Nothobranchius furzeri: one gene and its partners. The protein of the gene in region 5 interacts with the protein of the main gene of each other region in a biochemical or structural test. Links are inferred from orthologs where the notes say so. Each region holds a gene or a part of one and is shown on either strand. Other genes may lie near its edges.

Region 1 (3,973 bases), on a different chromosome or scaffold from region 5:
GAATTACATCTGACACACCAACACATTTTTAACAAGTTTTATTTAACCAATGAAGCTTACAGGCTTACATAAGAGTCAATATTTACAGTTGAATTCTGAGCATGACAAAAAAAAAGCAGGTGTACAAACAGAAACAATAATATTAACCTAGCTCAATATCAACCTGCAGAAATCATAACAATATATATCGATAAAGATATATATTGCGTTAACCACAAGTGAAAACTATCCCAGAAATTTTTGGTAAAGATGCATGTGAAAAATAAATGTATCTCAGTTTCTATATTAGAAGTGCAAAAGGCACAATCGTTCTCTCCAATATTACATTTAGACTGCAAGGACACACCAGCACATCACAGCTACTTCCGATGCTCCAACATACTTCCGATGCTGCTATTCCTCTCGGCTCACACCGAACACTCACCGTGAAACCTTCTCGCGTTTAGGAAGACACGACTCGTAAACGCAGGATGAGGGGTTTCGTGCCAAACACACAGTCCGGGATACAAATCGGTACATAATTGTGTTTAGTAATGTCCTTCCACGTTTCCGAGTCCCCTTCGTTTCTACAGCATGAAGCCTCCCCTTGAAACGTAAGACCAACATTCGTTCCGGTGTCGTGCCGAAAGACGCTCCCGCTCATTGATTTGAATGCTGAATTTTCAAGTAAAAAATGAACCCTTGTGTTTAATTTTGGTATATACATCTGTTTTCACAATATGCTTTTTTATTTGAAGATAAACAGCAATTATAGGTACTTCAATACTTTTCCATATCATTAATCCGTCATTAAACACCGCGGTAAACATAAATACCACATTCAATTATTTGTAGTTTGTTAAGGTTGTTGAAAAACACAGGAAATTTAGGTCCGTCTGTTGACTGGATGGCATCCTACAGACTGTGTGCTTCTCGTGGCAGGGGTGCATTTACGAGCACAACACCTGTCAGAATTGTGCCAAAAATAGCTGATCCTCGCAGTAAAGTGGCTTTGTTCGTTATGATACTGTGAATAAAACAATATTACATGTGAATACTCAAAAATAAATATTCAAATGTGTTTGTGTCTCTGGGCTGGATATGAACAATCGATTTGGACATAAAAGAAATTGCCAGCTGCTTCAGCTGTCAACGTAGTCTCGCGCGATTTCATAGTCTGAACGTGACTCAAAATGGCGACAGAATACTAGCGCTAATTCATAAACGGATGTTTCAGCAGCAGTCCGTGCTCAACTTAGCTCTAAACATTTAAAGATGGATTTTAACAATGAAAAACTAGCTCTACGAAAGTATTCTTGTTATAAACATTGATATTTTATGTTCGTTTAAACTCTCGCGTTAACCGAGAAAGACGTAAACGACTTCATAAAGGTAAAAAAAATGACCGTCAACGGCAGCTACATTATTAGCATAGAAGCTAACAAGCATCAAATTTACCGCAACTACTTGTCGTTATTAAAGACAATGCAGCACCCAAAGCCTACAGATTTAGACAACTTTGTGACGTGGTTAAGCTGAAGCGTTTGGCAGAGTGTAGGTTTATTCTTGGTGATGCTTCTGCTTGTTCTGTCAGACTGCTTACCCGCTCCTCGGAGCTCCGTCTGTTTACATGCATTAAGTGTTTATTTGAAAAACTTGAGTTCACATTTTCTGCAATTTTTCTTTTACATTGTGGAAGCAATGGTATCAAGACGTGTTAAGTTTAGTCGTGTTGTGATAACGTGTGTTTGATGTTTAAACATTTTAAGTTGATATAATTTATCCAGTAGAGATGAACGTCCTTCTGTTATTTTATTTGAGCTGTTGCTCTAAAATAGGGTTATGTTTTTGTTTATGTGAATAAGATTTTCTAAGCTTTGTTTTTATGTGGAATACTATAATTAACAGCAGTGTTTAACGTCTGATCTGAGCTGTCAGTATAAAAAAAGCTCCAAAGACACAAATATTGCTTTAGAGTCCAGTTTTTTGTAAGTGTTGTTGTTTTGTGCTTTTGTTAACATCTACCCACTTTCTAGTATTAATAAATTACTAATTTTAACAATCAATATTGGTACAAAAGTTCAAACGGTACATATGTACTACTATGTTGTCACAAGCATTGTTCTTTTTCTTGGTTATATGTCCTAAGGGAAAGTAGGAGTTGGACTTGCAGGGAGATTTTTTTTTATCCGACTCCGTCTAACTTTTGTCTGCCACTACTAGATAAGCTCTTAAAGCAATTTTTACCCTTGAATGTCTTTGATTCACAGTGAAACGCTTGTTGTGAACTGTTTAAGATGTTCTTGGGTCGATCCATTTAAGTTTCACTGTAGTGTTCTTTTATTTCAGACACATTACATTTTGTAGGCAGATTTGTTTTTGTGTCATTATTAAAACAATTATCAATGAGATTTTGTTAGATGTGGTCTTAAAATAAATGCATCAGTAGTAATGAACTGAAAACAGCTTAAGAATTCTCTTTCTAAGGTAATATGCATTACATTGTTGGTCCAGCACTGTAGTCTTTGTCGGAATTAACTCAGAACACTGTGATTGGGACTCATCAAATGTCTTCATTAATAAACATTATGTTGTCGAATTGCCAAATGATTAAGTAAAGAAACTCAGCATCGTACTGTCTCGTTTTGTTATTTCAGCCATGGCGGAGGAACGCAGGCAAAAGCAGTGTTCAGTCGTTCTGCCAACAGAGTCGATGAAGGCCATGGCGGAGTCTGTGGGAGTCGGGCAGTTACAGGAAGACAGTTGTGTAGCTCTTAGTGAAGAGGTCAGCTACAGAATAAAGGAAATTGCACAGGTAAATTAATGGTTATTAATGTAGGTGTTATAATTTGTATGATGTGTGAATTATTTAGTGCTTTTTTGATATTTTTCTCTTTACACAGGATGCTCTGAAATTCATGCATCATGGGAAGAGACGAAAACTAACCACGAGTGACATCGACAATGCTCTCAAACTAAAAAATGTAGAGGTAATAAAGAGCGCTTATTATACCCGAAGGATGAATTGGGTGTGAATTTTCTGTTTTAAGAAATTTGTTTCTTTTTCAGCCCCTGTATGGGTTCCAGTCACAGGAGTTTATTCCTTTTCGCTTTGCAAGTGGAGGTGGAAGAGAGCTTCATTTCTATGAGGAAAAGGAGGTTGATCTCAGCGATATTATAAACACACCTCTCCCAAGAGTTCCTCTAGATGTGTCTCTCAAAGGTACTCGGATTAGGAGGATTATATGCTGTTTTGTGATATTAAATTAGCTCATTTATCAAATACATTTTATAATTTAATCTACAGCTCACTGGTTAAGTATTGAAGGGGTGCAACCTTCAATTCCTGAAAATCCTCCACCAGGTGAGCCCTACTTAGGTTTGATCTGTTATCATGGGAGAGGTTATAAATGTTAAAAACACTCAAGACTTTTTTTCCTACTTGTTAGCATCAAAAGAGCAACAAAAAACCGAATCCACGGAGCCGCTGAAAGTTGTCAAACCCGGTCAGGAGGAGAAAGGTACGATTCAAGGCAAAGGCCAGAGCACCACAACCCCAGATGGCAAAGGTCAGTGTTTATTTCAGTTTGCTAATAGAAGCTAGACACCTCTGTATCATGATGTGTGTTAACTTCACTCATGTCTTTGTGTCCCTCTGGTACAGGAAAGGAGAAGGGTCTCATCAGGCTGAAGCCACGTAGCACTCACGAGCTCTCTGTAGAGCAGCAGCTCTACTACAAGGAAATCACAGAGGCGTGTGTGGGCTCCTGTGAAGCCAAGAGAGCAGTACGTCTTACCTGACTTTCTGATGCATGTTGGCCAAATGTTCATAATTCAGTCCTGTAGCATAAAGGGATACTATGCAACTTTTTATAGTTTTGAATAATTTTTTGAGCCAGTTTGTGCCAAAACGATCCTTTACAGGGTTAATGAAATGTCACTCAGACCCCCACCGCCCTCTGTAGCCAGAATACCACATTTGCAAATTCAGAGT
Region 2 (4,255 bases), on a different chromosome or scaffold from region 5:
CTGAAGATGTCCTCAGGGACCTGCTGGTTTGAGGTCTGTCCATCAACAGGCTGCTGTGAGGTGGATGGGTCTCCTTTTTCTTGAACAAACTTAGAAATCTGGCCAAAAAAGAGAAATGTAATAGGAAAAATAAATATTTTACACTTTTTACGTAACGGGGGTTTAGTTTAAGAAAATGGGAGACGTTTCCCAAAAATCTACCAAATGTTTCATTTTATACACTAATTATTTCCTAAATACATCTCTAGAATAAAACATTCAACACAGTGACATTTTCATTCAGTTCTATTTTGAACTTCTGCAAACCCCTGTAAATTCAAATATCATCCATCCATTTTCTTTTGCGTATCCAGGGTCATGTCACGGAGGCAGCAGCCTAAGCAGGGAGGTTCAGACTTCCCTCTCCCCAGCCACTTGGGCCAGCTCCTCCAGGGGAATCCCATGGCATTCCCTGGCAAACTGAGAGACATAGTCCCTCAAGCATGTCCTGGGTCTTCCTTCAGGTCTCCTCCTAGTTGGACATGCCCGGAAAACCTCACCAGGGAGGCATCCAGGAGCTGGAGATCACGTTCTGATGAAGCCAACAGGACAACATCAACTGCAAAAAGCAGATATCTGATCCTTAGAACACCAAAATGGATTCCCTTATAACCTTGGCTACACCTACAAATCCTGTTCATAAAAGTTATGAGCAGAATCGCTGACAAAGGGCAGCCTTGGTGGTGCCCAACTCTCACCGGAAACGATCAAACTTATGGGCTATTCCCATCTGTATCGGGTCGGCCCGGGCCGGGTAGCCCCAGTTGGTCCCAGCCTGGCCCGGTTGATTTCAAACATCCTTGTCTTAAGCCCATGTGGGCTGATTCTACCCACCAATCAGAGGCTTGCTCTAATGGAAGGTGTGAATTTGCTGTCAGCAGTGGGTGTGTTGGCCCTGGTCGGCCTGAAGCAGACCCCCTCGAGAAGAGGGCTGAGAATGAGCCTTGGTTGGCCCGGAAAAATACCAGGCCACCCAGATATGTAAACAACCTACGCTACCCGGCCCGGGCCAACCCGGTACAGATGGGAATGGCCCATCTCTGTCTGCAATGTGGACCAAGCTCTGACACCAGTCATACAGGGACCTGACAGCCTGTATCACAAGGCCTGGTACCCATACTCCCAAAGTACCCCCCACAGGGCCCCCTGAGGGACAAAATCAAAAGCCTTCACCAAATTCACATTCACAAAGCACTGGTTTGGTAGACTGGTTGGGCGAATTCCTGCGCACCCTCCAGAACCTCCCTAAAGAACTGGTCCAGTGTTCCACGGCCAGGACAAAAACCACATTGCTTATCCTGAATCTGAGGTTCGACAATCCACCGGACCCTCCTTTCCAGAACCCCTGAAATAGACCTTACCAGGGAGGCTCATGAGTGTGATCACCCTGTAGTTGGAAAACGCCCTGCGGTCCCCCTTTTTAAACAGGGGGACCACCACCCCAGTCTGTGAATCCAGTGGAACTGCTCCCGAAGTCCACGAGATATTACAGAGCTGCGTCAACCAACAAATCCCCACAACATCCAGATCCTTAAGGAGTATGACATACTGCTGATTTGCTGTGGACAACTTCAGTAATAAGCTCAGGGTCTGCTCCATCTGCAGAGCGAAGACGACATTCACGGATCACGTTATCCTGCAGGAGACGCTGAATCACATCAGGGAAGGTGCTCTCTACAAAATACCTAGAAGAGGGAAAACACAAGTGAATAAAACCGCTGAAGAAATAAATGTTTTTGCAGAGAGAGACGAAAGACCTTTACCTATTGTGTTTGAGCACAAGCTTAACTTTCCCATAGCTCACAGTGCAAAGCTGAAAGAGGCAGAAAAATACAACAGATGAGCAAAAAAATAAACTGTTACTATAGGATCACATCCTGTCTATCTCTGACCTCAATGAACTTGATGATTCCATCAGGTACAGATGTTTTACTGAGCTTCTGCAGGTACTCTATAATATCAGTGGTCTGCAGCCCCACACTGACTGCTGCATATAAGGAGTATGCAGTCAGCTTGTACTCATGGATGTGGTTAGGCCTGCACACTGGCTCTGCAATAGCCACTAAGAAATCCTGGGCATACTTATATACTGGTGAGAACGCTTCCAGAAAGATGTGTCCATCTGGAGCCTGTAGAGAAGTGAGAACAAGATTTCACCTCTAAGAGATTACTGAGGTACAGCTGTGACTATAAGCAGCAATGACGCATCATACCACCCAGAGAGGACGGGAGTTGTGGTCATTCTTCAACTGCATCTGTGCGCGGTAGTCTTTGGCTCCATATTCATCCAGTTTTGTGCCAGATTCATCCACCTGCTTCCCTGCAGCAGCAGGTACAGCTTCCTGAGACTCCCCGACTGTCACCTCTTCATCGTCATCTTCCTCATAGTAGCGTCTTTTGAACTTCTTCTCTATAGCAGATCCACAAAACAATCATTAACATTACTAAAACATTTTAAAAATCAGTAGTTATGTTAAGATGCCATGGAATCAAAACTACATTTTGCTCAGACGTATTTGCGCTAGTATATTGCAGGTTAGCGTTCGGTGACTAGCTCCACGCAGATTAAAATGAAACGTTACCAACTTACCTCGATCTCCTTTATCTTTTTTACCCATTTTGAAAGGTTTACATGGGTAAAGTCTTAAAAATAGTCCCAAATGTATTTAGGTAAACACACAATACGTGTCTTTAAATGATATGAAGGAATAAACGATGTCTAGACTGTGCACTAAAGTGGAGCTCTGAATAACAAGCGTTTCCGTTCAAAAACTTTCAAAATAAAAGTTTTTATATTTCCGTTTTTGCCACAGAGACAGTGTACAGTTGATTATTACTTATATTTACGATAGTTTAATACAATTTACGAAGCTTTAAAACTACTTATTCAAAAATGTGTTTATTAAAATCTTAATTAAAAATAAATCACAATAGCAGGTGCATTTGTTTTGGCAGAACACTTTGAAGACTTCCGCTGCTGCTCTATTGTTTACTTCCTAGGTTAAAAGCCATAGAGTAAATACAGGTTTTGTTTAATATCCCCTGAAAATACGTAACGAAATTGTTAGCAAAGATGTCCTCTGATAAAATTATAGGACCTGCTTTGCCTCCGATATTTGGAAATGAGAGCTCTGAGGACGACGTTGACGAAAAAGATTGTAAGATACGTTTTGTTAGAAGCTAACGTGTTGTGGCAATTGATCTTTTCGGGTTGCTCTGTTCACTTTTAGCTAACAGTTTTATTTATGTCGCCGTCTAGTTGCTGGTCCTGCTTTACCTCCTGGGTATAAACGGGGTGAACAGTCTAGCTCCTCAGATGAAAGTGAACCAGAGGTGGCAGCTAAGCGAGCCAAGACTGGGAGAGCTGCAGAGTGAGTTCTGGTTCTGGTCTCATTTGTTAGTTAAAAGAAATAGAACGAACTTGACTAACATGTGTTTCTGAACAGGGATGATGATGGGTTCTTTGGACCAGCTCTGCCTCCAGGATATAAAAAGCAACATTCACCAGAAAGGTGAGCAGAAACATCAATATTCTCTAGTAACATAAATAGCACGTGTAAGGACACTTCCTGTTTAGGATAACAGTGTGACATTTGTTTGTGATGGTATTTTCTCAGGGCACCTGTGTTGGGGCCAGCTCTGCCTCCTGGGTTCTGCAGGACTGAATATGACAGTGATGATGATGATGAGGAAGAAATTGTTCCAGGACCTGCCCTTCCTCGGGGCTACTGTCCCGAACCCTCCAGCAGCGAGGGAGAGGAGGAGGACGTGATTGGACCCATGCCTGCTAAAGGACCGATTCAAGATTCTGTTGCTCATGATTTTGAGTGCAGGGCACGAAGGATGAAAGATAAGCTAACAAGAGTGGTAATTTTTCTCTAACATTTTTCTCCTCATAATAATTAAATTATAAAAGGGGGCTGTTTCTTCTTTGTGTCTTAATGTGTTCTTGTTTGTCCTCTGCGTAATTAGGATGTTCCAGAGGTGGTAACTAGAGAAACGTGGATGACAGAGCTCCCACCAGAACTGCAGCACATTGGTTTGGGTGCTCGTACTTTCAAGAAAAGGTCAGGTCCAGAGAACAAGGATCGCTCCATTTGGACGGATACACCAGCAGACAGAGAGCGCAAGGCTAGGGTACCTAAAAAAATCACCCACCGCTTACAGTGTTCAACATATTAGTTAATGTATATTATTCCTCAGTATCAATGTTTGT
Region 3 (4,094 bases), on a different chromosome or scaffold from region 5:
ACACGTTTAATTGCGTTTATTGGTGTGGTTTAAATTGTTATTGGAAATTAAGAAGCTGACTTACGTTTTATCAGATATTGGCAGAAAAAGTGATATCAAACATCCCTAAAATTTCATCTTTAGACTCTTAGATACCAGCAGACTGTCCAAAAACACAAAGTTTGATTAATTTCCTGTTAAATGTATTGATCTGTTAATTAAATCAGAATTTTAATCCCAACAAGGTGATTCTGGAAAAGCTTGTGGTCCCAACCTGACACGCAGTCAATGATCAACAGTAGGATCATCTACATCTCAGTCAAGACTTTGCTGGATTTGACTCAGTCTTTAAAGACAGGATTGTTTCTGTTTTTGACCTCCACTTGTCCGTTTTCTTAGATATTTAGCACAAACTGCACATTATGCAAGGTCAGATACAAACAATAAGCTGAATTTTTAACAGTTATTCTAAGTATTTGACAGAGCAATAAACAATGGTTCATACAAGACCCATAAGAGTTCTTCTACACCAAAGCCAGCATTTGTGTCCTGAAAAGTTGATGATGTGATGGCAGCAAGGACTGAAGTGTGGCTAGACTGCTCTCTTCTCTGCTGCACAGCCACATACTGTCAGTCACATCTGTGAGCTGTCAGACCATGAATGTGCATACATCTGAGGGGGGTGAGGGGTGTATTAGGCATGCTGATCCTTCACACTCCTCTTGTCAAACTTAACATTAAAATGAAAGTCAGTGGTGAGTGTTCTGAATGTGTGTGTGTGTTGACGGGTGAGAATTTGGGCATTTGAGACAGAAGACAAGTAAGGTCAAAGGAGCCGTGCCTAATCCTGTGGGATGTTATGGTATCTTACAGTGAATGGTGATGGGATGTAGAGATGTGCTCAGTGGTGCATGGATCACAAAAACTTCCTAACTGACAGAACAGGCTCCCAGGAGACCAGTGTCAAAACTGGTGGATGAAAAAAAACAAATGGAAAATGGCAAATTGCCATGAGATTTGTGTTGTCTTTCCTCTAAATCAGAAACATGTATTTCATCCTTTATTTTAAAATAATAAAAGATTAAATAAAGGGTGAAATACATTTTGATTTTTAGTTAGGTGACATTAATTGGGACTGAACAAGTCACAACAATTCCTACATAGTTTGTATTAAATAACTGTTTATATTTTAAATCATTCTGAACGTGTTCTTTCAACCAAAAAATTGCACATCTTTTGACATTAAATTGTTTTAGCCTGACCAGTAGATGGCGCAGTTGCTCAGTTTTAAAGCCTGACACCTTTGCCCCGGAAGAAGTTTTCTGGCCCTTTAACCAGACCAAAAGATAGCTTACTGCTAGCTACCATGGCGCTTGATGTAAAAATCAGAGCGAAACGATACGAGAAACTGGATTTTCTCGGAGAGGGTCAGGTAGGCAGAGAATTATTTCAAAGTTTTCGATATCTACTCTTCGTTTCGCTCACTTTTATTATTTTTGCTTTGTTGTTTAACGTTTTCAGTAACTTGATAACAAGCGTTAGCTGGTAGCTAATGTCAACAAAGCCCCAGCAGCTTCGGTGTGATCACACTAGCTCTAAAAGCATTCAGCGCGTTGTATGCTCTCCTTTAATAACCTTTCTTTCATCTCTTCAGTTTGCCACAGTCTACAAAGCCAGAGACAAACTGACAGACACAATAGTTGCCATCAAAAAGGTACAAAAAAAGTGAAGTTTCTGCTTTAATCGGACACTGTGGTGTTCGGGGTTAAATTTGATTATCTGCTTGTTTTCAGATAAAAGTTGGTCACAAAACTGAAGCTAAAGATGGTAAGTCATAGTCACACCTGTGCCCCACACATACCAAACACTCGTGCTGTATCTTATTGAAAATAAATGTTCTTTTCTTGCAGGTGTAAATCGGACTGCTCTCAGGGAAATCAAACTGCTACAGGAGCTGCATCATCCAAATATCATTGGGGTACTCAAACTATGTTCATGCATTTATGTCCTCTACATTTCCAGTAAAACATCTGGAAAAATCAACCTAATTATTTAATTTGGGTAGATGTGTGTCTGAACGTTTAAGAGGCACTGTGTGTTTGATCAGGCATCTTGGTATTCTCGTGTTATTAATTTGTTTCTTTTAAATGCAGTGTTGGTTATTTACTGTGCTATGTGTTGTAGCTGTTGGATGCATTTGGACATAAATCAAACATCAGCCTGGTGTTTGATTTTATGGAAACAGACCTGGAGGTGAGTTGCCTCCTGTTTTTGATTATATGCACAATTATCCCTCTGATATTATTACTTCTGAATATGATGAAGTTCCGCATTAATATAATAGAACAGTGGTTTCCAACCTAGGGTCTGGGACCCCCCATGGGGGCCTGCTCAGGATTGCTGGAGGTCCCCACAAATGTGTCTGTGCTCAGGTTGTGAGAATACCAAGGTAGTTTTTGTAAGAATTACATTTCTAAAATCCAAATGACACACCCAAATGTATAATCAAATATCTGTATGTCTGTGTAAAGTTTTTAATTAATCATTTTTAATGTGTGGATGCTGGAAGAAGTTGTGGTTGGGGGTTCTGGCTCATCTTGGATACAGGCAAGTGGGTCCCCATGGAAAGAAGGTTGGGAACCACTGTAATAGAACATTCATACAGCTTGTTTTTATATTTGCACTAGATTTTTTTCCCCTGTAATTTAAGTACTATTAAATGGTCTTCACTAAGTCGGGTTAGGGTTAAATTAACTTTAGTTCTGTATATCCAAGTATCATAAGCAATCAGCGTGTAAAATAGCTCTCCCATTTAAGGCTTAATTTTTGGTTGAGGGTTTAAAGAACAAAAAAGTCTTTAAAAATTGATTCAGTTAAACATTCCCCAGGATTTTGGTGAAAAGGTGGTTATGATTGCACTTTTTTATACAAATGAGTAAGTAATGAAAGTGACTTCTTTACAGAATTGTGGTCTAATTTTGATTAAAAAGACAATAATCATGGTATTATAAAATTGTATATACATGTGTTGTGTCGGGTTAAATTCGTTCTTCTTCTTTTTTTTTTTTTTTTTTTTTTTTTTGCATTTGTGGACCACTAGTAATCATTCCCTCAATGACTTTTTAATTTTGGAATTAAATAAAGAACATTTGTGATGTTTAAGGTTTTGTTTAGGGAGAAACGTGTAACATAAGGATGTGTGCTGCAAGATCAAATGTCTTTACAAAAGGAGCAACTAAAATGAAAGTAAAATTATTCTTTCATGCTCCCATTCTCCTTTTTCATTCCGTTTTAACGTGCAAGACTCCAGACGGACGCACACCTCAGACACATTAGACTTTACTGATGCAATAAAAAGACAAAAGTGCTTCCAAATAATCAATATCACTCTCTTCTTGGCTCAAATACATTTATGCCATTAGCAGCTGGCAGGCAGCAGTTAGGGGAGGCATGTGTGAATTATGAGGCTATTCTTTTTCAATAATGTTGTAAACATTTTTAGGTTCAGTCAGTTAATGTTTAAACTATCAGCTACAGATGTTTAGTTTTACGGACATTTTGGGGATTTGTCGAGTAGTTAAAGTGAAGCTGTTTGGTCTGATCTCAGTTCTCTAAAGCTTCCTTGTGTGGGTCAGATAAGCATATTTTTTGTTGTTTTGCTTAGATTTTTTTGTGTGCGTTTTATTTTTTCAGGTTATCATCAAAGACACAAGCCTAGTCTTGACTCCAGCCAATATTAAAGCCTACATCCTCATGACATTACAAGGATTAGAGTACATGCACCAACATTGGGTCCTACATAGGGTACGAGCACCTAAACACCACTCTGTCGTATTCTGCAAATGCACAGAGGTGATTTATTATTTAGAATTATTGCTTCTTTTTTCCTTTATACGTTCAGGATTTGAAGCCCAACAATCTGCTGCTAGACAGTAACGGAGTGTTGAAGTTGGCTGATTTTGGATTGGCCAAAGCTTTTGGAAGCCCCAACAGAATCTACACTCATCAAGTTGTTACCAGGTCAGAGCCGCTGCAGTAATGACAACGATCGTTTTGTTGGCTTTAATCTAATTTTACAAAATAGAATTTCTCACCTCTACACTAAAGATCAAACA
Region 4 (3,360 bases), on a different chromosome or scaffold from region 5:
AACGTGTCCTGGGTCGACCCGGGGGCCTCCTGCCGGCAGGACATGCCGAAGCACCTCCCCAAGGAGGCGTCCAGGAAGCATCCTGACCAGAAGCCCATACCACCCTTGTTCTTAAAATTTAATGATTTTGACATGTCAGTTCCAACATAATCACCTACAAATGATTCTCTTTTGACTGATGTTACATGGGAGACAATCCTGACTTGTCTTTTTTATGATGGGTATCAAATAAGCCACAATTCCTTTTGTAAGAATGATTGTATTGTTTAATACACAAATTACTTTATTTCAGATATTCAGAGAAATTATGTATTTTCTGCAGCTCTAACATCCAACTACAACATGTTTTAACTCTTACCCAGAGGTTTTCCCTAAACTATTTCTATACAGGGATTCAGTATTTTAGTCTTCACAGTTTATTTCTTCATGGTGACTTTTGGTTTTACGCAAGAGACTTCAGCTGTAAAATGTTGCTGCAAAGAAAACCAAGTAGACTTGAGTCATATGTACACTTTTATTGGGTGGAAAAGAAAACAATGGACCAAACTTCTTCGAGTCTGCTGGGAGGACAGAAATCAGACAGAAGAGACAAAGATGGAGACTGAACATGTCACTAAATAAACCAGACTTTTAACTAGTTGCCATAAACGTCACTAGCTGACCGTATAACACATAAGACCACCAGCAATGACTTCAATGTGATCCTACTTGAGTTTTAATTTTAGACAAAGGCCAAACAGCCAAAATTCTGCTGATTTGAAACAACCAAAAACATTTTTAAAACTATACTGCATGGGTTTGAAATTAATATTAATCATAAGAGCTTTTTTTCCCTTATATCAATATTGAGCCTACTGAAATCCCGCTGAAGAGCTGCATCGACTTTAAGATTGGCATCACTTCTCATTCTAATTACAGAAGAACATATACACACATTCAAGTTTAACCATTAAACACTTTCTTCCTGTAACCACAACAAACCAGTTCTCTCTTTCAACAGAAAGATTGTTTCACGACTTCAACCAGACAAAGTCGAAAGTTATCAAACGCCTCTAAACAACTTAACTGTTTAGCAGCAGCAAACATTCATGGACAACTTGGCCAGTCAAATAAAGATTAGCTCAGCTTGAGTTAATGGGCGTCTACTCCCAATGAGTGTAAAAAAAAAGTCATTAATCAGGATTATTTTCTACCTTAAGGGAGTAAGCATAGGATTTAAAATCCCAAGTATCATGTACAGCAGGGGATTTAAAGAGAGGTCAACAAATGCTAACAGCTGAGAGTATAAAAGTATTTAAAACAGCTTCACATAAAACCAGCAGTCCTAGTCGTCGAACTGCTTTTCTGCTCAACAACACTTTACATTTTTTACAGTCATATGTACAGTTGGGGATGAGATGGGACAACAAAAACCTGCAACCACAGGACACAATAAACATGGTCAGAGTGAAAGAACAACCTTTAAAATGATGATTAAAAAAATTGAAGACAGAAAGATGGATGAAAAAACTCCCAACACCTGCATCAGTCTACCTTCTCATTAAAAATGTGACATTAAATAATGAATGAAATAAGAGGATCAGGTTTCAGGAGGTGGAAAAGAAACCCCAGGTCCTACGTCGTTTTGCGGAAACCTTTCAGAATGGGGTAAATGTTTTCAAATGCTTCGTAAATCTCTGATCTCACTTTGGCCCCTTCAGGAAAAACAAAAAAGATTGAAACATGGATCAGTATCAAGATGAATCTAGAAAACTTACAGAATCTCTTGTTCTATTTTAAATAAAAAAATTACAATCCTTTCAAAATAAAAGGAGATCCAAAACAATGTGCCAAATTATTAGGTGATACTTTAACTAGAATCTAAAAATACACCCGTCTGAGAGCTCGGGCCTTACCTGTGAGCACTACTTTCCCAGAAACAAAGATGAGCAAGACGATTCTGGGTTTGATCATTCTGTAAATCAGTCCTGGAAACAGCTCCGGTTCATAGCTACAAAACACAAGTTAGACTTTCACAATTATATGAATTTTAAATTAAAAAAATGTACCATTTTTAATTAAATCTTTGCAAACATTAGCGATGCTCAGATCAGGTTTTTTGCTGCTTATGGATTGGCCATAAATGTATCAATGCTGTTATTATACTTGCTACATGATCTGGAATAAAGGAGCAATAATATTGCCCAATTTTGACAAAATCATTTTACAAAATACAAGACTTGTCAGTGTGTTTCTGACCAGAACTTATAAGCCTTCTACTATTTTCAGTTCAACTCAAGATGATCATGTCCAGGATGACAGAGAAGCTTCCCCTTGTGCTTAGGGCTGTAGCGAAGCCTCGACTACGTCGACGGCTCGATTCTAAAAATTTGTCGACGTCAGATCCGGAAGTCGACGCACCGCGCCCACTTGTTGCATCCCCAGGAGTTTGTAAATAGAGGAGGAATCTGCCTGTTTTTCCTCTAGTTCGCCCTCTTCTCCGCCTTCACTAACATCTCCGCCAAATACCGAAGACCCGGAACAATGTCCGTCCACTACTAGATTATTTTCCTGTTTTGCCCGCCTTCGTCTCCCGGCAACGGACAACAACTTCCGGGGTCAGATGCGCTGCTCCGTCTCTATCGCAGATGTAGAAAATCACCGGGAGCGTTTCTCCCTTCATAAAGGAGCTTCTTTCAGACATTAGGAGAGCTGTTTTGGTGGTAGCAGTCTCTCCTCCGTGCTGGTCTGTTTGCTGCTGGGTGTTTTGGTTTATTTAAACTTGGTAACTTGAACTTAACGTTGGTAAAGCTACTGTTAGCATCTTCGCTAACAGCTTCTTGCGTTGGGATAAGCTGTTACGTTTTGGTTTAGAGTTAATCTTTTTTGTGGTGTAGATCTCCCTTTTATTACATTTAGAGTGTTGTGGGTTTTCGGTTTAGTGTAAAATATCACCTTGAGTTTGGTTTAACCCGTAAGACCACTCGCCTCACGCACATAAGTGACCAAAACAAAGCAGCGTGGAGACACTCCATCTTCTACCACCTCTCAGGCAGCAGCCTGCACTCCCAAGTTCTACACGTCACCAGAACATAACCAACCGCAACACAATAAAAGCAGTGTTATACAAAATGGAAGGCCTGTAGTGTTTATTCTCTTACAGTAACAATTTATCAATTTTTTTGAGGAATTTATTTGAGATTTTCTGGTTTTTGTTAATTGTGCAATAGAAAAATAATCATTAGATTAATTTTCTAAATAGTCATTAGAATAGTCGACTATTCGATAAAATAATCGTCAGAATAATCGTTTTAAAAATAATCGTTTACCCCCAGCCCTACTTGTGCTGTATTTTTGTTACAGGATGCAAAGTTTAGATCA
Region 5 (4,243 bases):
AATCGTGCACCAAAACAATTCCTAGAAAAAAAAAAAACAAAAAAAACACAATTTTTAAACTACTTGCGATGTCTGTTTTGTTTAAACTTGTAAGTGTACCTCCTGTACCGTTAACAGAATTGTAAAAGACGGCTCTTGTGCTTTTGATACTGCTTGCGCTGCCAACAGATCCTCCAACATCCCAAAGTTCAATATAGAAGGTTTTCTCCTCGGGGGTTCCCTCTTTGTAGTCATGAATCTATAAGTGAACAAATGTCATAAATCTGCATTATACCAGCGACAAATTGATATGTTAAAATTAACCAACTGTACTGGAATAAAGCAGCTATTACAACTGGATTATTGTGTGATGACAGAATAAACCACTGAGGTAAATTTAACAAGGGAAAATACAGATTATTTTTGTTGACGCTGACACAACCACTATGCAAAAGTTGACTGAACTAAAGAAATACAGATGAGCTTACCCGTACATCCACAGAGCAGCCAACAGTCCAAGATGGGTTCCCTAAAACCTGATTATGACACAGAAGATGAACTAAGGAACTCTTGCCGACGCCTAAAAAAGACAAATATGTGAGAACAGAGCTGACACAAACCAACAACTCCTGTGGCAGTTTCCTGTATTAGTTTTGAGTGTGTTTAAGAATCCAGTTTGCTAAGAACTATCAACAAATACATCATGACGGACTAAGACAACATTAAGTTTAAATAAAATAATATTTATAGTAAATCCTTCCAACGTATGACCATCCAAAGGCATTTAAAAACTGAACCAAATATAATAACACTAAAACAAATGTTGTGCTTTCTTTGAAGCATCTTGCTTTGAAACATCGTCTATCACAAATTAACTCGTTTGTAACTTTAAAATAACGTCTCGTTTTTCTTTATTTTTTTATTTTAAAGAGTCTGACTGAGTTTGCCTTTAATTTGGGCACATTTCCCAAACACTTGGCTCCGTTTCACTTGATTTATCTCGAACTAAGTGTCTTCTTGCAAACAAATGTCCTTTACTTGGCCAGTAATCTAACGGAAGCTCTTTGGATTTAATCCGTTATTTCATCAAAAATAATAATGAGTTTATGATGCGTTTTGAATTACCCGAATTTTTGTTTTGCAGCACAGCTAAGTCATGATTGACGATTTTAACTCGATAATTTCAGCCTCTAAGATATTTACAAATGAAAGAAACGCATTAATATTAAAGACGCATTTTTAAATGTACAAAAGTGTAATATGTGATGGGTCAATAGGTAAACTACTTAAGAAACTTACCAGAATCTCCTAAAACTAGTACCTTAACCCTGTCAAGAGACGCCATATTTTTTTTGCTAACGTCAGAGTGAACCGGTACAACAACATCTAAGCCCCTCCCAGAAGACTAATTTCTGGATATCGGGATTGGTCAAATTTAACGTCACTCAAGAAACCCTCTGGTTCCTGTTCCGGTAAGCGCGAGACAACTCGTTGATTATCAAGGTAGCTAGCTTGACGTTCAAAGAAAATCCAAGTTTGCTAAAGTTTTCTGTAACTTTTAGTTGTGGCAAGTTACTAGTAGTAAACATCAGGTTGAAATGAGTTAAGGAGCGGTTCAAGTATCCGGGGTGGAACAGAAGGAATACAGGTAAGACTTGGTGGCTGCTAGCTTGAAGCTAGTCTGGCTGCTACCTTTGGTTTAGAATTCAAGGCTAGGAAACTTGAAATGTTAACATTCACGAGCTTTTGTGTGGAGAGTCTAAAGTTAAATAGTTAGGCACAGACTAGTTTCACGGTCATTTAGCTGTTTTTTTATCACTATGACGCTTTTGTTAGTTGCTTAACGTTAAGGTAATAAAGTTATTGGTGAAAATGCCTCTAGTTTTGTATATGTTGTGCAAAAATTGGGGAATATCAAAAGCTTGAATCCATTCATCACGTATTAAGGTAATTTATATGTTTAAACCTCAATATGGGGAAAATACTGAATGAAATAAAGCTTTGATCAGTTTTATTTTAGTGAGCAGATGGATCATGCTGGCACTTTTAATTTAATTTGTTGGTTAATTTCGATTTTATTCTATCAGGGACATTATCAGTGTTTTATATTTGGAGCCGTGTTTATAATATTTTTGGCTATCCGTAGGAGTTTAATGGTTAATTTGCTTGTTATTGAACTTGCAAACGGTTGACATCACATTTTCATCATAAAGGGAGTGAGTACCATGTGGATGAACAGTCACACATTTGACTTATTCTTTCTCCTGAAAAAGCACCATCTTTTTGTTTATGTGCCCAAGAAAACAACTCATTAGCAGTTTTAATATTTGCGTTTCCCTCCACAGCCCAAGATGATTGAGCCAGAGCTTCTAACCGAGGTCCCTGCTTCACTGAAGAGGCTAGCTAAGCAGGTTGTGAGGGGATTTTATGGTGTAGAGCATGCCTTGGCCCTGGATGTGCTCATTCGCAACCCTTGTGTGCGGGAGGAGGACATGCTGGAGCTGCTCAAGTTTGACCGGAAACAGCTGCGCTCTGTGCTCAACACTCTGAAATCAGACAAATTTGTAAAGTGCCGCATGAGAGTGGAGACGGCCCCTGATGGCAAAACAACGCGACACAACTACTATTTTATCAACTACAGGTTTTAGGATTCCTTAAGATTTTTTTTATTTAACTTGACATATGTTGGATTTATAAATATAGTGTTTTTTTATTTTATTTAGGCTATTGGTCAATGTTGTAAAGTACAAACTGGATCACATGCGAAGACGCATCGAGACGGATGAGCGAGACTCTACTAACCGGGCCTCCTTTAGGTGCCCCTGCTGCTTCTCTACGTTCACTGACCTGGAGGCGAATCAGCTGTTTGATCCTATGACGGGTACGCTCTCATGAATAATCATGTTCATTGTTTTCATTAAGCTCAGAAATGTTTTTTTCTTGGTAGTTTTGTGAAAATCTTCTAGGAAACTCTGGTAAATATTCAAGCTAAAATCAAGCCAAATCTGTTCACTGAATATTGATATAAAATATCAAATGGTTTGCAGTTTGATTATTTTGATTGCATTCTGAGCAATTTGCCTCTAGATGGCAGTGAAGGCAAATGCATTTACTAAATCAAGTTCATGTACAAAGCCATTTTTTAAATATTTAGTACATTGTTTTAATGAACGGAGCTATTAAACTTTACATACAAACTTTAAATTATGTCTGAATGAAAATAAGCTCCAATTGGTGCAGAACTCAGCTGCACGCAGCCCTGTCCTCCAGCAGCTCTACTGGCTTCCTGTTAACACATTGAATTCAAAATCCTTCTCACCTTTAAAGCCATCCATAACCTTTGCCCCATACCTGTCTGACCTCATTCACATCGTCTCTCCCATTCATTCCCTCAGATCTTCCGCTTCTGTTCCCTCATTCTGTCTCAGCACTATGGGGAGCAGAGCTTCATCTGTTCTACTCATTTCTGAAATTCTCTCCCTCAAGCCGTCTGTAACTGACTTGCTCTCCACCTTTAAACCTAGACTCAGGCCCTGTCCACACGTAGCCGGGATCTGCCAAAACGTAGATATTTTTCTACGTTTTGGCCTGTCATCCACACGAAAACAGAGTTTTTTCACACGAAAACTGAGTTTTTTCACACAAAAACGGATCTTTTTAAAAACTCCGGCCAAAGTGAAGATCTGCGTTTTCTCCGTTTTGGGTGTCTGCGTGTGGACAGACAAAACCGGAGTTTTAAGGTCTGCAACGTCACTTTCCGCGACAAAAAATGCTGACATCACGTGTGCGACCTGTGTTTACACTAGCCGACAGCATGGATGCCCTCAGAGCTGCGCTCTGTCACTACCCGATCCATCAATTGTCCAAGCGCTTTTTGCTTGTTTGTTTTTGCAAGTGGAATTACTGATCCTTGCAGAAGACCACAGACGAAGGACGAGGTTAAGAACGGGGGAAGTACTGCCGCCTACAGGTCTGGCATGTCCTTAACAACGTATTTATCCGGGTACGTGTGGACAGAGTTTTTTTTTTTAAATGAGGTGGTGTGGATGCAAGTTTTTGGAGGGGCGGATATTCGTTTAAAAAAAACGGCTACGTGTGGACTAGGCCTAAAAAACTCACTTATTTCCAACTGCCCTGATGTTATTATCTAGTTAGTATTTTTAATGTTCCTTTGTATTTTTTGCTGTTTTTAACCTAGTTTCTTTGTGTTTTTGGCTATAAAGTGTCCTTGTGTTTCTTAAAATAAATAGATAAAAAGCATTCT
Region 6 (2,165 bases), on a different chromosome or scaffold from region 5:
ACCTCCACAAACATCTGGACCACTGCGGCTTCCCGCAACAGAACCGGAAATTAGACTCCTTAACCTCTGGCGCCCCCTACTGGTCACTGATTCATTTCATTACGTCAGAAATCAGCAGTAAAGTTCCAGCTGAACCAAAACTTCATTTAAATCCGTTAAAGTTCTTCGTACGCTGTCCCGTCTCACCGCAGAGGAGCTGATTTACACAACATGTGGATGCAGTCGAGCTGAAAGCACTGATTCTAGCAATAGTTGTCAGGATCTACATTTCTTCATTATGCAAATAGATTGTACAAAATGTTTTTTTATCTATGTGCATGTTGTCTGATGTAAACTGTATGAATGGTACATAAATGACTTAATCACAACCTTGGTGCATAAAAGCGTTTTTGCAGCCCGTGTGGTGATGACATCACCCGTTCACGTCTGGGTGGACGTCTGTTCTCAGTGAGAGCTCAGCTGGGACCCGTCGCTGGAAACGAGACTTTAGTTTTATTAAATTCATGAAAATCGTTTATTTTTAAATTACTTGGAACAATTCCAACAAAATAGAACCTGAATCCCCAAAACAAAAGCCTCATGTTTACAGTATGAAAACAGCCTAAACCTGCAAGCATCAGTGGCATCGCTCATCTGGACACACACGGTACAGCACACACACACACACACACGATACTGTACGTACAGTCTGCAAGCTGTTTAAGCACTGGAATGTCTGCTGCCGTCGGGCTGGAAGTGGAAAACTGTTCAAGTCCAGAAGGGAAATAAAAAGCTAGAAAAACTCGAGTACAGCAGAGGAACGCCGCCTGAGCCAGACGACTCCTCACAGCTGGGGCAGCTTGTCCACAGGTGTGTCGAATTTGAAGTCTGGGGGGAAAAGCTCTGCGGCACGTGGGTAGATGAGTCGGTAAGACTGTCTGATTGTGACGTCTGCCACGCCGGCAATGTCACCAATTTCTGTGGAAGAACAGGAAACGGTTAGAGAACGTTGGGAGCTGGAGCTGATGTCCCAGGTGGGATTTTCCCAGGATTCATGGAGACGAGTCGAGCGGAGGGCACTGCAACTGATGGTCGGGGTGTCTGCCCAGCCTATGGAGCCCCCAAAGGGACAAAAACCTTCTGTCTCCTCCGTAATAGTTACTGAAACAAGCGTAAACTGTAGCAATGCTTTACATTAAAGGAGAAAACATGAAGTCATTTCTAGAACATTGTCTAAAAATGCAAATGAGTTTGTGTCTTAGAACAACCGTTTTACGTGGGACAGGAAATCCGTTGAAGGTTGAGGACATAAGGAGCTACTTTCCAATGAAACGTGTACATCACCTAAAGCTAGGTTTGCTAATGAGTTCATATGAATGTGATTGCTAGCGCTCGGCTTTAGCGCTAGCATACAGCAGGTCCATCATCTGTAACCCGTCAGAAATCTGCAGCCTTGAGCAGAGACAAGTTCAGCCTAGAGAGAGTGGGAGTGGCTTATCTGTCCTTTCTCTTCCTCTACATGTTGAATGTAATGTGTATCCCAGCTGGATTTCCCTTTAACCAACCCAGAACCAGGGGTCAGGTCTACTGGGTTATTTATCATCCTCATCTCTCCGTACAGCAGGTTAAACAACTGTTCCACCACTGGCTTATTAGCAATATTAAGAGTGATCAACAGTTATTAATTATCATGATCACTAATATTAAGATGAATAGTTATGAGGCACCACCTCACTAACAGAGCCTGGTCTCTTCTGAAACAGAATTTAGGGATGTCCCGTTCCGATATTGGATAACTTCCAATATCGATATTGGAAGTTATCCAATATCGATATTGGAAGTAATCCAATATCGGCCCAAAAACAGTATCGGATTATATCTGCCGGCATTAAAAGTCTCCGATATAAGCGGTCCGTTAAGATTCACATTTTTGTAAATAACAGTTAAGAAAAAAACTCGTGTTTTTCTAACTTACTGTTATTGGCTCTTGTTCTCTGATTGGCTCTTGTTCTGATTGGCTCTTGTTCTCTCATTGGCTCTTGTTCTGATTGGCTCTTGTTCTCTGATTGGCTCTTGTTCTCTGATTGGCTCTTGTTCTCTGATTGGCTCTTGTTCTCTGATTGAGTAACATCACTGGATCAAGCCTTTCATACATTCCGCACTACGAAACAGGTGAACGTTTGTGT

The links.
Region 1: the proteins of gtf2e1 (region 5) and taf6 form a complex in vitro, tested with the Homo sapiens proteins (2 studies listed by BioGRID). The link is inferred for Nothobranchius furzeri from reciprocal best matches to the Homo sapiens genes GTF2E1 and TAF6.
Region 2: the proteins of gtf2e1 (region 5) and ercc3 form a complex in vitro, tested with the Homo sapiens proteins (2 studies listed by BioGRID). The link is inferred for Nothobranchius furzeri from reciprocal best matches to the Homo sapiens genes GTF2E1 and ERCC3.
Region 3: of the proteins of gtf2e1 (region 5) and cdk7, one has a biochemical effect on the other in vitro, tested with the Homo sapiens proteins (3 studies listed by BioGRID, with this or other methods). The link is inferred for Nothobranchius furzeri from reciprocal best matches to the Homo sapiens genes GTF2E1 and CDK7.
Region 4: the proteins of gtf2e1 (region 5) and tbp form a complex in vitro, tested with the Homo sapiens proteins (3 studies listed by BioGRID). The link is inferred for Nothobranchius furzeri from reciprocal best matches to the Homo sapiens genes GTF2E1 and TBP.
Region 6: the proteins of gtf2e1 (region 5) and gtf2b form a complex in vitro, tested with the Homo sapiens proteins (2 studies listed by BioGRID). The link is inferred for Nothobranchius furzeri from reciprocal best matches to the Homo sapiens genes GTF2E1 and GTF2B.

Annotation. Positions count from the first base shown.
Region 1 is NC_091750.1:47,772,845-47,776,817, forward strand, and holds the start of taf6 (transcription initiation factor TFIID subunit 6), read left to right. Parts: upstream 1-1,173; 5' UTR 1,174-1,371; intron 1,372-1,511; exon of another isoform or gene 1,512-1,533; intron 1,534-2,636; 5' UTR 2,637-2,638; coding exon 2,639-2,794; intron 2,795-2,882; coding exon 2,883-2,969; intron 2,970-3,048; coding exon 3,049-3,202; intron 3,203-3,286; coding exon 3,287-3,343; intron 3,344-3,428; coding exon 3,429-3,548; intron 3,549-3,643; coding exon 3,644-3,765; intron 3,766-3,973. Other genes in the region: mrps31 (small ribosomal subunit protein mS31), read right to left, coding at 425-519. UniProt on the Homo sapiens protein: The TFIID basal transcription factor complex plays a major role in the initiation of RNA polymerase II (Pol II)-dependent transcription.
Region 2 is NC_091749.1:40,321,580-40,325,834, forward strand, and holds the start of ercc3 (general transcription and DNA repair factor IIH helicase/translocase subunit XPB), read right to left. Parts: upstream 2,801-4,255; 5' UTR 2,658-2,800; coding exon 2,630-2,657; intron 2,450-2,629; coding exon 2,253-2,449; intron 2,169-2,252; coding exon 1,932-2,168; intron 1,853-1,931; coding exon 1,803-1,852; intron 1,725-1,802; coding exon 1,589-1,724; intron 99-1,588; coding exon 1-98. Other genes in the region: gpalpp1 (GPALPP motifs-containing protein 1), read left to right, coding at 3,113-3,197, 3,299-3,410, 3,486-3,551, 3,657-3,906, 4,012-4,176. UniProt on the Homo sapiens protein: ATP-dependent 3'-5' DNA helicase/translocase. Binds dsDNA rather than ssDNA, unzipping it in a translocase rather than classical helicase activity. Component of the general transcription and DNA repair factor IIH (TFIIH) core complex.
Region 3 is NC_091757.1:44,652,888-44,656,981, reverse strand, and holds the start of cdk7 (cyclin-dependent kinase 7), read left to right. Parts: upstream 1-1,294; 5' UTR 1,295-1,345; coding exon 1,346-1,411; intron 1,412-1,633; coding exon 1,634-1,693; intron 1,694-1,772; coding exon 1,773-1,806; intron 1,807-1,889; coding exon 1,890-1,957; intron 1,958-2,163; coding exon 2,164-2,232; intron 2,233-3,672; coding exon 3,673-3,783; intron 3,784-3,880; coding exon 3,881-3,999; intron 4,000-4,094. UniProt on the Homo sapiens protein: Serine/threonine kinase involved in cell cycle control and in RNA polymerase II-mediated RNA transcription. Cyclin-dependent kinases (CDKs) are activated by the binding to a cyclin and mediate the progression through the cell cycle.
Region 4 is NC_091749.1:35,004,844-35,008,203, reverse strand, and holds the end of tbp (TATA-box-binding protein), read right to left. Parts: intron 1,991-3,360; coding exon 1,896-1,990; intron 1,695-1,895; coding exon 1,615-1,694; 3' UTR 501-1,614; downstream 1-500. UniProt on the Homo sapiens protein: The TFIID basal transcription factor complex plays a major role in the initiation of RNA polymerase II (Pol II)-dependent transcription.
Region 5 is NC_091754.1:12,358,441-12,362,683, forward strand, and holds the start of gtf2e1 (general transcription factor IIE subunit 1), read left to right. Parts: upstream 1-1,443; 5' UTR 1,444-1,627; intron 1,628-2,324; 5' UTR 2,325-2,330; coding exon 2,331-2,620; intron 2,621-2,702; coding exon 2,703-2,860; intron 2,861-4,243. Other genes in the region: rabl3 (rab-like protein 3), read right to left, coding at 1-21, 109-238, 468-559, 1,279-1,324.
Region 6 is NC_091751.1:71,399,246-71,401,410, forward strand, and holds the end of gtf2b (transcription initiation factor IIB), read right to left. Parts: intron 958-2,165; coding exon 824-957; 3' UTR 501-823; downstream 1-500. UniProt on the Homo sapiens protein: General transcription factor that plays a role in transcription initiation by RNA polymerase II (Pol II). Involved in the pre-initiation complex (PIC) formation and Pol II recruitment at promoter DNA.